Linked DNA regions of Anolis sagrei. The protein of the gene in region 2 binds, or shares a complex with, the protein of the main gene of each other region. Links are inferred from orthologs where the notes say so. Each region holds a gene or a part of one and is shown on either strand. Other genes may lie near its edges.

Region 1 (7,506 bases), on a different chromosome or scaffold from region 2:
CTTCATTCTCATAAAGATCTTTTCTGTGGAAGTTCCTATTTTTCCATTTGGCACCTGCCCAGTTAATAAAAGTCTGGACAAGGAGGAGGAAATAGAACCACCAAACAATTCTTCACCTGTTTTGAATGTGGCTTATCACTCTAAAAAATCTCTACACTGCTTGCACCATTTCAAACTGAAAGGTTGCAAAACAGTTAATAGTCCTGCCGAGAAATGAAAATTTGCAGAGTAGGAGCCAGAAAGGTACAAAAAGGAGCCAACCTAATAGTCAGGGCTTCCCAGTTCTAAATAAAACAGTGGTTCCCAACTTCCTAATACCACAACTCCTTAATACAGTTCCTCATGTTATGGTGACTCCCAACCATAAAATTATTTTAGTTGCTACTTCATAACTGTCATTTTGCTACTGTTATCAATAGTAATGGAAATATCTGCTGTGCAGGATGTATTTTCATTCACTGGACCAAATTTGGCACAAATTCCCAATATGCCCATATTGGGGTTGGGGGATTGATGTTGTCATTTGGGAGTTGTAGTTGCTGGGATTTAAAGTCAACCTACAATCAAAAAGTATTCTGAACTCCACCAATGATGGAACTGAACCAAACTTAGCACACAGGACTCCCATGACTAACAGAAAATACTGAAATACCTGACCCCCAGGTTGAGAAATGCTGTAATAAAACAAAGCTGCACTTATTTTCTCTTTCTCAGTTCCTTAAATAATAAAAAGGGAAAGGGAAGGGACTCAGGTCGGCTCTAGGATGAGACTGTTTGTGCCTTTCCTCTTTAAAAGACTTTCTTGCTTTTAGGAGAAAGTGAAGTGTTGATGTGTGTGTATAAAATCAGAGAAGAAATGAATTCCAAACAGAACTCAAAAGAGGGTTAACTCAAGGTGGAAAATGAGAACACAGTGCTGTAGGGTTATTTCTTTCGACCCCTCCTTAAGTAAAGGTTAGAGCCAGCAAAAGCCAAACACTTTGATTACATGCAAAGGGGTCTTATAACCCCTTGGAGACTAAATGTGCATCCACACTGTGGAATGAATGCAGTCTGGCATCACTATAGCTGTCATGGCTCAGGGCTATATGCTCCTGGGAGTTGGGAGAGGGATCTGCTATAGACCTTGAAAAACTTTATAAAACTATGGTACAGCACCATGATTCCAGCATAATGAGCCATGGAAGTCAAACTGAATTCACTTGACTGTGTAGATCAGGCATGTGCAAACTTTGGCCCTCCAAATGTTTTGGACTTCAACTCCCACAATTCCTAACAGCCTCAGGACCCTTCCTTTTCTCCCTCAGCCACTTAAGCAGCTATACCCATGCCTGGTGTAAATGCACCCTGAGAGAAAGAAGATGATACAAGCGGAACAACCCTGTCTGAGAAGTTTGGCCCAATTCAAGTTCCAAAATCCAAAATACTCTAAAATCCACAATTGTCCACGTGATGCCTGCGAAAGCAACAACTTTGCTTTCTGGTGGTTCAATGCAAACAAACTTTGATTCATGCATAATTGCGTTTAAAAATATTGTGTGTAAAATGGCCTGCAGGCTACGTATATTAGGCATATATGAAATATAAATAAATGTTGTGTTTAGCTTTGGATCCCGTACTCCAACGAAAGCATTCCAATATCCAAAAATAAAACTCCAAAATTCAAAACACTCCCAGTCCCAAACATTTTAGATAAGGGATGTTGAACCTGCAGCAGAAGTTTTCCGCTAACTTTCCTCTCCAAAAACTTCTGCTATTAATTTCTTTCTCTGGTGGTGCATATGCTACACAGTAGAATGAATGCAGTTTGACAACCACTTGAGTTGCCCTGGCTCAATGCTACGGAACCCTGGGGATTTGAAGTTAGACATAGCACAGGCATGGACAAACTTCGGCCCTCCTGGTATTTAGAACTCCAACTCCCACAGTTTCTAACTGCTGGGTGTTATGAATTGTGGGAGTTGGAGTCCAAAACACCTGAAGAGCTGAAGTTTGCCCATGCCTGGCTGTAGCACAAACACTCTTTGGCAGAGGAAGCTAAAGACCTTGTAGAACAGTGTATCTCAACCTGAGGGTTGGGACCCCGGGGGGGGGGGGGGGTCACAAGGGTGTCACCAAAGACCATCAGAAAAAAATATTTTCTGTTGGTCATGGGGGTTCTGTGTGAGAAGTTTGGCCCAATTCAATCGTTGGTGAGGTTCAGCATGCTCTTTGATTGTATTCATCCCACCCAAATGTTAAGGTTTATTTTCCTCAAACTCCACCAGTGTTCACATTTGGGCACATTGAGTATTCGTGCCAAGTTTGGTCCAGATCAATCATGGTTTGAGTCCACAGTGCTCTCTGGATGTAGGTGAACTACAACTCCAAAATTCAAGGTGTGCCAAGATTGGTTCAATTCCATCCTTGGTGGAGTTCAGAATGCTTTTTGAGTGTGAGTTAACTATAAATCCCTGCAAATAAACTCCCAAGTGACAAAATCAATCCCCACCCCAACCCCACCAGCATTCAAATTTGGGGTATTGGGTATTTATGCCAAATTTGGCCCAGTGAATGAAAATACATCCTGCATATCAGATATTTACATTACGATTCATAAACAGTAGCAAAATGACAGTTATGAAGTAGCAATGAAAATATTCTTATGGTTGGGGGTCACCACAGCAGGAGGAACTGTATGAAGGGGTTGAGGCATTAGGAAGGTTGAGAAACACTGGCGTAGAACTATAGCTTCCACGGCCCCTTTGCCTTGAGCCACGGCAGTTAAGGAGGTCTGGAACTGGATTAGTTTTACAGTGCAGAGGCCCCCTCAGATCTTTGCAGGCTGCTCTCCCAGACTGTGGCTTTGATGACCCCTCGGAAGACGCTCTGCCTCTTACTTAACCTGCCAGCCCAGGACAGCAAAACGCCGGAGGAAAGTTTCCGAGGCGCCTCTTCTTCTGTCGGGAGCCCTTCTCCGCCTCCGCTCCAGCCTTTAGCCCAGAAGGAGGTTCGCTTTGACGGCCCGCGAAGCCCCTCTTTCTTTCCCTGCCAAGCCCCTTCCTTCCTCCCTCCCTTCCCTGCCTCCTCCCGCTTTGCCTGCTTACCGTCTCGGCACAGGACGCGGCTCCTTTTGCGCCTCAGAGCGCAAACTCCAAGCACACAGGGACTGGCCTTGGGCTCTTGTTTGCGCTTCCGCCCCTTTGCCTGGGCTCCTCCCCTGGGCAGCCAAGGAGGGAAGGGGAGGGAAGGGGAGGGAAGAGAGAAGAGAGAGAGAGAGAGAGAAGGGGAGACAGAGGGGAACCTTCCAGATGCGCCTTTGGAAGAAGCCAAGGCTCAGCAAGCATTCCCTGCCTTGCAAGACTATCCACACTGCAGAATAGGAGAACACTTTGATACCGCTTTAACTGTCAAATGCTTTTCTTTAAGGAAGTGAGAAAGAGGAAATGAGCAGACAGAATTAGAACTGATTATGGCAGGGATGGGCAACCTTTTGAGCTTGGTGTGTCAAAGTTCGCCAAAAAACTAAGCAAAACTAAGCATTCTCTTCCAGAGGAAAAAAAACAACCAATAATTTCACAATTTTTATAGTTTAAATAACAAAAATGGATAATTGTAATATATAACGGTCAGACCCGTAGCCAGGATTTCAATTCGGGGGGGGGGGGGGGCTGAGTTTTTTTCAGAGGGGGTTTCAGGGAGGGGGGCTGAGTCTGAGTGAAAGAGGGTCTAGCCTAGCAAACCTTTTGTATCATTACCCCAATACCACCATGCATATGGGATATATTGAGTATGCTGATCAGATCATGATATGAATAAACATAACAGTTTAAATAATGCACCAGTAAGGCCTTTTCGATAGCTGGGTCCAGAAGCATCGCACGTTATGAAGATGCCGCATCTCTCATAGAATCAAAGAGTTGGAAGAGACCTCATGGGCCATCCAGACCAACCCCCTGCCAAGAAGCAGGAATATTGCATTCAAATCACCCCTGACAGATGGCCATCCAGCCTCTGTTTAAAAGCTTCCAAAGAAGGAGCCTCCACCACACTCCGGGGCAGAGAGTTCCACTGCTGAACGGCTCTCACAGTCAGGAAGTTCTTCCTCATGTTCAGATGGAATCTCCTCTCTTGTAGTTTGAAGCCATTGTTCCTTGTCCTAATCTCCATGGAAGCAGAAAACAAGCTTGCTCCCTCCTCCCTGTGGCTTCCTCTCACATATTTATACACGGCTATCATATCTCCTCTCAGCCTTCTCTTCTTCAGGCTAAACATGCCCAACTCCTTAAGCCGCTCCTCATAGGGCTTGTTCTCCAGACCCTTGATCATTTTAGTCACCCTCCTCTGGACACATTCCAGCTTGTCAATATCTCTCTTGAATTGTTGTGCTCAGAATTGGACACAATATTCCAGGTGTAGTCTAACCAAAGCAGAATAGAGGGGTAATTTTAAAAATTATAACCGTAAGAAGCAAACCTCCTTATGGCCGCGGGTTCTGGAACGGCCAAAAATCTTCTACAGCCCGGAAAACTCCTTCAGAAGTGCTGTTTGCGCAAGAGAGACTTAGCTAATGTAAGTCAGGCTGGAGACAGATAATATAGAAAGAATGTAAGAGTTCTTTAATGGTGAAACCCTAACCCTAACCCTGAACCATACTGTAAGCCTAAGCCTAACCTCTTACTCAAACCCTAACCGTAACCCTAAATCATAGTCTAACCATAACCCTTACCTAACTGTAACCCGTAACCCTAACCCTAAACCTTGCCCTAACCTTTACCCTAAGCGTCCCCTCCTTTTTATCCTTCCTTCACTCTCCCCGCTCTCACTCCCTCCCCCCTTCCCTTATTCACAGCTGCCTTTGCGGCATCTCCGTAACAACTCAGAGCTCAGGACCCAGCTATCATACTATCACTTATATAACTATATTTAATAAACCAAAAATTAATTATTTAACTTAACTGCTTAGTGATTTCTTTGTTCATCCGTCATTCTGTTTCTTCTGTTGATCTTGATATTATTTAACGTATGGGGTGCTGTGAACTAAGATAAGTGAGGGGAGGGGCAATTATTTAACTAACCTCCCTACTAGTGACTTTTTTGTTGCTGAATTTCATTGGCTAAATCTTCCAATGAAGGTTGGTGTTTTGAACATTTCAAGCCCAAGCAAGAGCTACTAATTTCATCTGTCAATCTGTTTCTTTTGTTGGTTTTGATATTATTTAACGCTGAGAATAAAGTCTCACAAAAGTACATAGAGGGAAAAATTGTCAGTAAAGCCATTGCTATATTTTTCAGGGTGCTAAAAGCTGCTCCCTGCTTCACCAGCTGGAAGTGAAGTCAATGATCCCCTAACGGCCTAAACAGAAGTCCCAGAACTAGATGCTCTGTGCCAGAGTTCTGTTGTTTTGGCCTACAGACTTCCAGCACAGAGTGTCTACACTACACTACAGCAAATGTTTCATCCTTGGCTCCTGCACCTGGCCGTGCAGGAGCCAAGGATGAAACGTCCTTTTTGGGATGCAGCCCCATACTTCTCTGTATGTCGCTGCATCCGACCGCATGTCATAGAAAATGGCTATGCGTGTCATTGAAAATGGCTACACGTGTCAGTGCTGACACACGTGTCATAGGTTCACCATCACAGGGTTATGGAGTCATCTGGCTCTTCCACTGGGTCCTTCAGTGTCTTTCAGGCTTGGTCTTTGCAAACTCTAGGTTGACATTTATTCTTTTTGGAACTTTAACTCTTATTTTCTGAAATATCATACAAAACCTGACTGGAACAACCTGGGGATAACTATCAGACACAGTGAAGACATCTGCTCTTTTGCTTTGCTACTCTGCTACTGATTACACATGCACAGTGTGGAACATATCGCACCATGTTAAAACAGTGGATTTGGCTCTTAATGAGACATGCCACATTATCACAGGATATCTATGCCCCACACCACTGCAGAAATTATACTGTTTAGTTGGTATTGAACCACCTCACACCCACTGGGAAGTAGCAGCCAGTAATGAAAGGACCAAGGCAGTGACATTTCCGGCCCATCCCCTGTTAAGATATCAGCTAACAAGCCAATGCCTCAAATCAAGAAATGGTTTTCAAAGATCTACAGAGATACTCGCAGGAACACCTCAGCAAGTGAGAGTCTAAAAGTGGCAGGATAAAACTCGGAAACTCAATCAGTAGCTGAGGCTGGATGAGAAACTCCCTCCTGGGCAAAAAGTGGACTGAGTGACTTGTAAGGAGCTGAACAGACTGCTCTCTGGCACCACAAGATGCAGAAATGGGGCCACAAAGTGGAATCCATGACATAAGAGTGTGGAAAAGTGCAAACCACAGACCACTTACTACAATGCAGCCTGAGCCCTACCACATGCACTGTGGAGGACCTTCTTATAGCAACACCAAAGGCACTCCAAGTGGCCAGCTACTAGTCAAAGGACATTTAGTATAATGCCAGTTTTTTTTAACTTTGTTTGTGTTTTAAATACATTACAACTGTACCTTTAGTTAACTTCTGACAAGATAAATAAAAATAAAATAAACAAATAACCTAATGTGCATGGGCAAACTTTGGCCCTCCTGGTGTTTTGGACTATAATTCCCACAATTCCTAACAGCCTCGGGTCCTTTCCTTTTCCCTCTCAGTTGCTTAATTGTGCGAGTTGAAGTCCAAAACACCCAGAGGGCCAAAGTTTGATATATTTGCTGTATATTTATGCTACAGTGTAGTTGCACTTTTGTTGACCTTGGACAAGTCACATTCGCTCTAACCTCCAAGGAAAAAGTAGGGAAACTTCCTCTGCACAAATCTTGCCAAGAAACTCCAGTAATAGGGCTGCCTTCGGGGCGCCATAAATTAAAAGCAAGTTATTCAATGGAGTGGCATTCATAACTCTTATTTAAGACCAGCAACTGGATTTATTTAGGGCATAATGTCAGCATCTTCATTTAGACAAGACAATTATGTTGATACTGTTGTTCAACAGTTATGAACTCTTTACCAATGTATTGCAAATCATATAGGGATTTGCCATTCTCGCCTACCGTTTGCCCTAGTAGGCATCATTAGGTGAATCTACACTATAGAATTAATGCTATCTGACACCACTTTAACTGTAATGGATCAGTACTATGGAGTCCTAGGAGCAGGGGCTTGGTGGGGCATCAGCACTCTTTGGCAGAGAAGAATAAAGATATCATAAAGCTTACTTAAGCAATCGTTGTCTGAATATGATGGCCTTCCAAGTGTAGTGTCTTAGCAGTGGGTCCGTAGATGACTGTGGAGCCATATTCTTGATCCACATGTTCTTCCACAGTTTTGTGTGTGTGTATGTGTGTGTGTCAGGAGCGACTTGAGAAACTGCAAGTCGTTTCTGGTGTGAGAGAATTGGCCATCTTCAATGACGTTGCCTAGGGGACACCTGGATGTTTTACCATCCTGTGGGAGGCTTCTCTCATGTCCCCACATGAAAAGCTGGAGCTGACAGATGGGAGCTCGCCCTGTTCCCTGGATT
Region 2 (7,342 bases):
AATCTCTCTTTTTCCTTGGGGCGGCCCTGGAAGAAAGGAACAGGAGGGATACAGGAATGACAGGAAAATGGTGGAGACGGGATAGGGGAGCTCTGGATAGATGTGTTATACACACACACACACACACACATATATGTGCGCATGTGACTGAATGTGTATTTATTTGTATATGTATATATATGTATTTATGTATAGGTTTATATGTATTTATGTAGTGTGAAAGGATCTGTATGTATAGAGGTGTGTATGTATTTATACATGTATGTATACATGTGTGTATGTGTATGTATATATTTATGTGCATATAAATATGTAGGTATATGTATGCATAGATTTATGTGCATGTGTGTATATTTATTTATTTACATCCCACTTTATCTCTCCATATGGAGACTCAACATGGCTCACAATTAAAAATATTACAATACAACTTAAAATGTACTAATGTACTAATAATAAAACAGCATTACCATTATACATTATTATATGTTAACAGTATATTTTATATATTAGTACTGTTACAATATTATTATTATATTGTATTATATTATATTATTACTATTATCTGTATACACAACATATTGTGTTCTTAGCATAGCACAATGTTAGTATTATATATTATTTTACTGTACTATACTGAAATATTAGTCATATTATATATAATTATTATATTATCTAGTATTACATTGTGCCGTATACCACTATATATATATATATATATATATATATATATATATATGTATATATGTATATATGTATATATGTATATGTATATATGTATATAACACTACTATAACACTACTAGTATAGGACACCATTCGTATTATATAATATATTGTACTATTTAATTAGTTGTAGTCTAACATATTATATTACAACATTATTAATATTAGTACTGTTATATTACAATGTATACATGTACAGGTTTGTATATGTACAGGTTTGTATATGAATATATTAATATGCATATGTGTATGTATGTATATGTATGTATGAATTGATAGATACATAGATATGTATTAGGGGGTCTCGCCTATATGTATTTGTATGTTTATGTGTGTATATGCATGCATGCGTGTGTATATATCTATTTATATATATGTACATGTGGGTGGATTGGTATGTTTATGTGTGTATATGCATGCATACATATTTATGTATGTATATATACATGTGGGTGGGTAGGTAAATTATGTTCTTATGTGTATGTATATATGTGTGAATAGCTAGCTAGATAGATATGTATTAGGGGTCTCCCCCTGCCTGTATGTATATGCACGTTTATGTGTGTATATGCATGCATTTATGTATGTATATATACATATGGGTGGATTGGTAAATTATGTGCTTATGTGTGTGTGTGTATGTATGTATGTATGTATGCATATGTATCTGTGAATAGCTGGATAGATATGTATTAGGAGGTCTCCCCCTCCCTGTATGTATTTGCATGTTTATGTGTGTATATGCATGCATGTATATGTATATATCTATTTATGTGTGTATATATACATGTGGGTGGATAGGTAAATAGATAAATAGATAGATAGATAGATAGATAGATAAATAGATAAATAGGTAAATAGGTAAATAATAAATATGTAGGTGGGTAGATAAATAGGTAAATGATAAATAGATAGGTAAGTAGGTAGATAAATAGATAAATAGGTAAATGATAAATAGACAGACAGGCAAATAGATAGGTAGGTGGGTAGACAAATAGATAAATAGGTAAATGGTAAATAGATAGGTAAATAGATAAGTAGGTGCGTAGATAAATAGATAAATAGGTAAATGATAAATAGATAGACAGGCAAATAGATAGGTAGGTGGGTAGACAAATAGATAAATAGGTAAATGGTAAATAGATAGATAGGTAAATAGATAAGTAGGTGGGTAGATAAATAGGTAAATGATAGATAGATAGGTAAATAGATGTGTGCAACAGTCTACATGCATAGTCTTTGTGAAATTAAGATGGGTAGGTGGGTAGATAAATAGGTAAATAGGTAAATGGTAAATAGATAGGTAAGTAGGTAGATAAATAGGTAAATGATAAATAGATAGGCAAATAGATAGGTAGGTGGGTAGATAAATAGGTAAAAAGCTAGGTAAGTAGGTAGATAAATAGATAGGTAAATAAATAGATAGGTGGGTAGATAAATAGATAAATAGGTAAAGGATAAATAGATAGAAAGGTAAATAGGTAGGTGGGTAGATAAAATAGATAAATAGTTAAATGATAAATAGATAAGTAGTAGGTAGGTAAGTAGGTAGATAAATAGATTGATAAATAAATATGTAAATGATAAACAGATAGGTAAATAAATAGGTGGGTAGATAAATAGATAAATAGGTAAATGATAAATAGATAGGTAGGTAGGTAGATAGATAAATAGGTAAATGATTAAAAGATAGGTAAATAAATAGGTTGGTAGATAAACAGGTAAATGTTAGGTAGGTAGATAGACTGGTAGGTAGATAGGTAGGTAAATAAATAGATAAATGATAGATAGATAGGTATAGATAAACAGGTAAATGACAGATAGATAGGTAGGTAAGTAGATAGATAGGGATGATGCCTTGGGGCTCCCTGGCTTCCTGCTCACCTGCTGGGGGGGCTGCTGGGCTGCGCTGCCCGCCTGGGCGGCCTCCTTCCGGCATCGCTCCCAGGCCCTTCCGCCGCCACTTCCGCCTCGGCTTCTCGCTCAGCGACCGGGGCCGGCGGGGAGGAGACCATGCCGAATGAAGGAAGGAAGGAAGGCAGGCAAGGAGGAGGCCCAGTCCCCGGCTTCTCCTGCTCCTCGTGCCCGCCTGCCTGCTTCCTTTTCCCCCTCAGGCTTCAGGAAAGGCAGGCTCCGCCGGTGAGGAAGGCCTCACTGAGGAGGAGGAGGAGGAGGAAGAGACGCTCTCGCCGCTTCCACAGAGCCAGCCGGGCGGCGGGAGGGGCCCCGCTGCTAGGAAGAGCCGGAGCGAGGGGGCGGAGCCAAGTAGGAAGGGCTACCTCAAGCCCCGCCCCTTTCACCCCTTCCTGCCCGGAAAGCGCCGCCTTTCCCCTCATACAAGCCCTTTCATCAAAATCTTTTCAGTCATGGCGACACAAAGCAGAAGAATGATAATTATCCCTAGAATATGATAATAATAATAATGAGAAGAACAACAACTTATTTGGTTTTCACTCCTTTTTTCCCACCCCTCCCCCCCGGAAAATAAGACGTTCGCGACGCGTTGCATCCTGGGAGGAGGGGTTCCCGGACTCCGAGTCGTTTGGCTCTGCGGGGGACTACAAGCCCCGATAGGCGTCGCGCGCGACATAGTGCTGCGCAGGCGCAATGGAGTGGTGTGCTCTGAATGGCAGGATTATGTGTCATCTGTTGGCTAGAGCCGGTTTTGGAGTCCCAGCCTCCACCAAAAAGGAACTGGGCCCAAAGCTTAATGGTGATAACAATACTAATAGGTTATTATTATTATATAATAGGTTTATTTCCTGCTTTGATCTTAGGAACCAAGACCCAAAGCAGACCAGAAATCTCTAATTATAATGATAATAATAATAATAATAATAACTTTAATAATGTTGCAATCCCAGGTGACAGCAGGATTGAAGAGAAACAACTGGAAAAACTGACACATGAGGATTTAAAGATCGAACTACAAAGACTCTGGCACAAGCCAGTCAGGGTGGTCCCAGTGGTGATTGGCACACTGGGTGCAGTGCCTGAAGATCTTGGCCTGCACTTAAACACAATCAGGGCTGACAAAATTACCATCTGCCAGCTACAAAAGGCCACCTTACTGGGATCTGCACGCATTATTCGCCGATACATCACATAGTCCTAGACACTTGGGAAATGTCCAACGTGTGATCCAATACAACAGCCAGCAGAGTGATCTTGTCTGCTTGTGGACTCATCTTGTTGTATGTATAATAATAATAGAAATAATAATAGATTTAATAATAATTTAATAATAATAATAATAATAAACACGGGTGTCTGTGGTGGAGGAAGCACATAAAATCTAGGATGAAACAGTCCCCTTATGAAATAATAATAATAATAATAATAATAATAATAAACCTTTATTTGTACCCCGCTACCATCTCCCAAAGGACTCAGTGCAGCTTACAAGAGGCTGAGCCCAAATACAATAGTAAAAACAACAGCAACAACAAACAGCAAAATAACTAAAAAACAAAACAATAACATTAACAGCACACAACGACACAATTAAAATCAATGGCAGGGCCAAATGTAATAATTAAAAATTAAAAGTGCTGGGCATGACCAGGTGGAGTGTTTGGTGGGGGGGGGGGGCATGCAGATATCTTGGATCTCTGATAAAGTGCGTTGGGACATAATGCTAGGAGTTTCCTTATTCTGGGAAGGCGCACTGGAACAACCATGTTTTCAAGCTCCTCCTAAAGATTGCTAGTGATGGGGCCTGCCTGATGTCCTTAGGGAGGGAGTTCCAGAGTCGAGGGGCCACCACCAAAAAAGCCCTATCCCTCGTCCCCACCAATCACGCTTGCGATGCAGGTGGGATCGTGAGCAGGGCCTCTCCAGATGAATGAAGAGATCGTGTGGGTTTGTACACAGAGATGCGGTCACTTGTGTGGTAGGCAGTATGGGGTTGGTGGAGGACACTGGCAGAGTTCTTGGACATGTTCTTGGTGCTCCCCATGAACCTGCAATGTCATTAGAGGGAAGGCCATGAGTGTCTCCTGAGTGGTGGGAGCTGTACCTGTTTGTGGAGGAAATTTTCTCTGTAAATGAACAAGCAGGAGCTTGTTTCTGTAAGTCTCTGCAAAAGGCCACCCTGCTCGGATCTGCACGCGTTATTCGCCAATACATCACACAGTCCTAAACACTTGGGAAGTGTCCGACATGTGATCCAATACAACAGCCAGCAGAGTGACCTTGTTTGCTGTGGACTCATCTTGTTGTGTTTCAAATAGTAATACTACTACTAATAATAATAATAATAATAATAATTCACTGGCATGATTCACTGGAACTTATGTCACAAGTACCACCTACTAGTAGTAAAGAATTGGTGGGATCATAAACCTGCAACAGGAGTGGAAAATGAACACGCAAAAATACTGTGGGACTTTCAGATCCAGACTGACAAAGTTTTGGAACACAATACACCAGACATCACAATTGTGGAAAAGAAAAAAAGTTTGGATTATTGATGTCGCCATACGGGTGACAGTCACATTGAGGAAAAACAACAGGAAAAAACTCAGCCGTTATCAGGACCTCAAAATCGAACTGCAAAGGCTCTGGCATAAACCAGCCCAGGTGGTCCCAGTGGTCATCGGCACACTGGGTGACGTGCCAAAAGATCTCAAAGGGCATTTGGAAACTCTAAAAATGTAACAAAATCACGATCTGTTAACTGCAAAAGGCCACCTTACTTAGATCTGCGCGTATCATTCAAAAATGCATCACACAGTCCTAGACGCTTGGGAAATGTTCAACTTGTGATTTTGTGATACGAAATCCAGCATACAGATCTCATTTGCTGTGGCATACTGTGGTTTTGTGTCAGCAAATAATTAATAATAATAATAATAATAATAATAATAATAATAATAATAATAAATTACCGGTAATAACAAATGTAGTAACAATAACAATAGTCATAATATTTATATACAACAACCTACCTTTTGCCGCCCCCAGTGGCCACATCGGGAATTGCTCTCCTTTGAGATTCAGCTTCTTCATGCAACCACCCTTTGCCTATGGACGGTCCTTCGTCGCCCCCAGTGGCCACGTCAGGAATTGCATGGGTTGTTTTTTTCCACTCAAAAACCCTCATTCACTAAAAATCTAGGTTGAAATTGTCCCCTTATGAAAGCTTTCACTGGGGGGTGGGCGGTCTGGTGTCTGTGGAGAACATTGGCAGGCATTTAGACATGTTCATGGTGCTCACTATAACTTTCAATGTTTGAGGGAGGGCCTTTTGTGTCTCCTGATGGCTGGGAACTATAGCTGCTTGTAGAACTTTGTGTAAGTGGACTCTCTTGCCACATACATATTTCAACTTTTATTATGTGTATAGATAGAGAAAAAAATGTGCTCATTTTATGTCAAAACTAAATCAGGTATCTGCGACTGAGAATAATATGAGTCGACAATGTGATGTGGTAGTAGCCAGCCTCTCCCCTCCCAACATCCCCGTTGCCTCGCCACTATAAGAGGGTTTCACGAGAAAATGCAGGAGATTTTTGGAAGGAATTTGTCATTATAGGAATTCTAGTTCACCTACATCCAGAGAGCACTGTGATTGCAAACAACAATGGATCTGCACAAAATTTTGCTGCGCAGAAGCGGATTTTAGCCAAGTCCCATGCATAAGACACACAGGCAAGAGGAAAAAGGAACAGAAAAACTTATCAGCAGAGGCATAAACTTGCAGTGTTGCATACAAAATCAAACAGTACAACAAATTTACATAGTCCTTGTAAGTAACACAGAACAAGGCTTCTTCGTCTTCATTCAAATGAGAGAACAAAACATAAACCTTGAGTAAATAGCTATTCCACCATAGCAAAGAGCATCGCTGTTGAGCATAGCAGCATTACAGCATATTGCTTCTCTTCCTCGGAGTAGCGTATTGCTTCTCCAAACTGTATTCTAAAATCCATACAGTTATACCCCACCAGGTGTGGCCCAAACATGTTTATTTATCGTGTTATCAGAAACCATACCATTGTGTTACAATTCTAACAGAACAAAACAAACACACAGATTAAAAAGAAAAAGAAAAAAAACCACACAGATTTTGCAAACTTTGTAGTTGGTTAAATGTCCGTCGACCAAAGTTCTTGATTTGTTCCATCCGTAGATCATCCAAGCCAGCTGCTTTGCCATTCTTACATTTGTTGAGAGCCATGTCCAATTCAGTAGATGTAAAAGGTTCATGGAGGTTGTTGACTGACCTACATTACCAGCTGCACATAATAATTAACATCATAAGATTTTTCTTTAGCACACACTTGATCCTGCTACGACTTACTGTAGCAAATTTGGCATGCATACCCAATATGCCCAAATGTGAATGCTAGTGGATTTTGGGCTTTGACATTTGTTAGTTGTACTGGGATTTATAGTTCACCTGCAGTCAAAGAGCACTCTGCACCCTATCAATGATGGACTGGGACCTAACTTGGCACACAGAACCCCAGGAAGAACTGAATGTACTGGAGGGATTTGATGGGACTGACCCACCATGGTGGGAGTTGTAATTCATCCTGCAGCTGGAGAGCATAATGACCCCCACCGATGATGCATCTAAAGCAAAATTGCCCAGCATGACAAACTTTAAGTAC

What was found.
Region 1: the proteins of AAK1 (region 2) and PDLIM5 are in contact, whole or in part, in a crystal structure (PDB 9F6S), measured with the Homo sapiens proteins. The link is inferred for Anolis sagrei from reciprocal best matches to the Homo sapiens genes AAK1 and PDLIM5. Residues at the interface, in NP_055726.4 of Homo sapiens: Asp956, Leu958, Ile959, Asp960, Leu961; in NP_006448.5 of Homo sapiens: Ala12, Pro13, Trp14, Gly15, Phe16, Arg17, Leu18, Phe24, Gln67, Ile70, Lys71.

The regions. Positions count from the first base shown.
Region 1 is NC_090025.1:23,610,734-23,618,239, reverse strand, and holds the start of PDLIM5 (PDZ and LIM domain protein 5), read right to left. Parts: upstream 3,192-7,506; 5' UTR 3,087-3,191; intron 1-3,086. UniProt on the Homo sapiens protein: May play an important role in the heart development by scaffolding PKC to the Z-disk region. May play a role in the regulation of cardiomyocyte expansion. Isoforms lacking the LIM domains may negatively modulate the scaffolding activity of isoform 1.
Region 2 is NC_090027.1:20,520,086-20,527,427, forward strand, and holds the start of AAK1 (AP2-associated protein kinase 1), read right to left. Parts: upstream 3,031-7,342; 5' UTR 2,610-3,030; intron 1-2,609.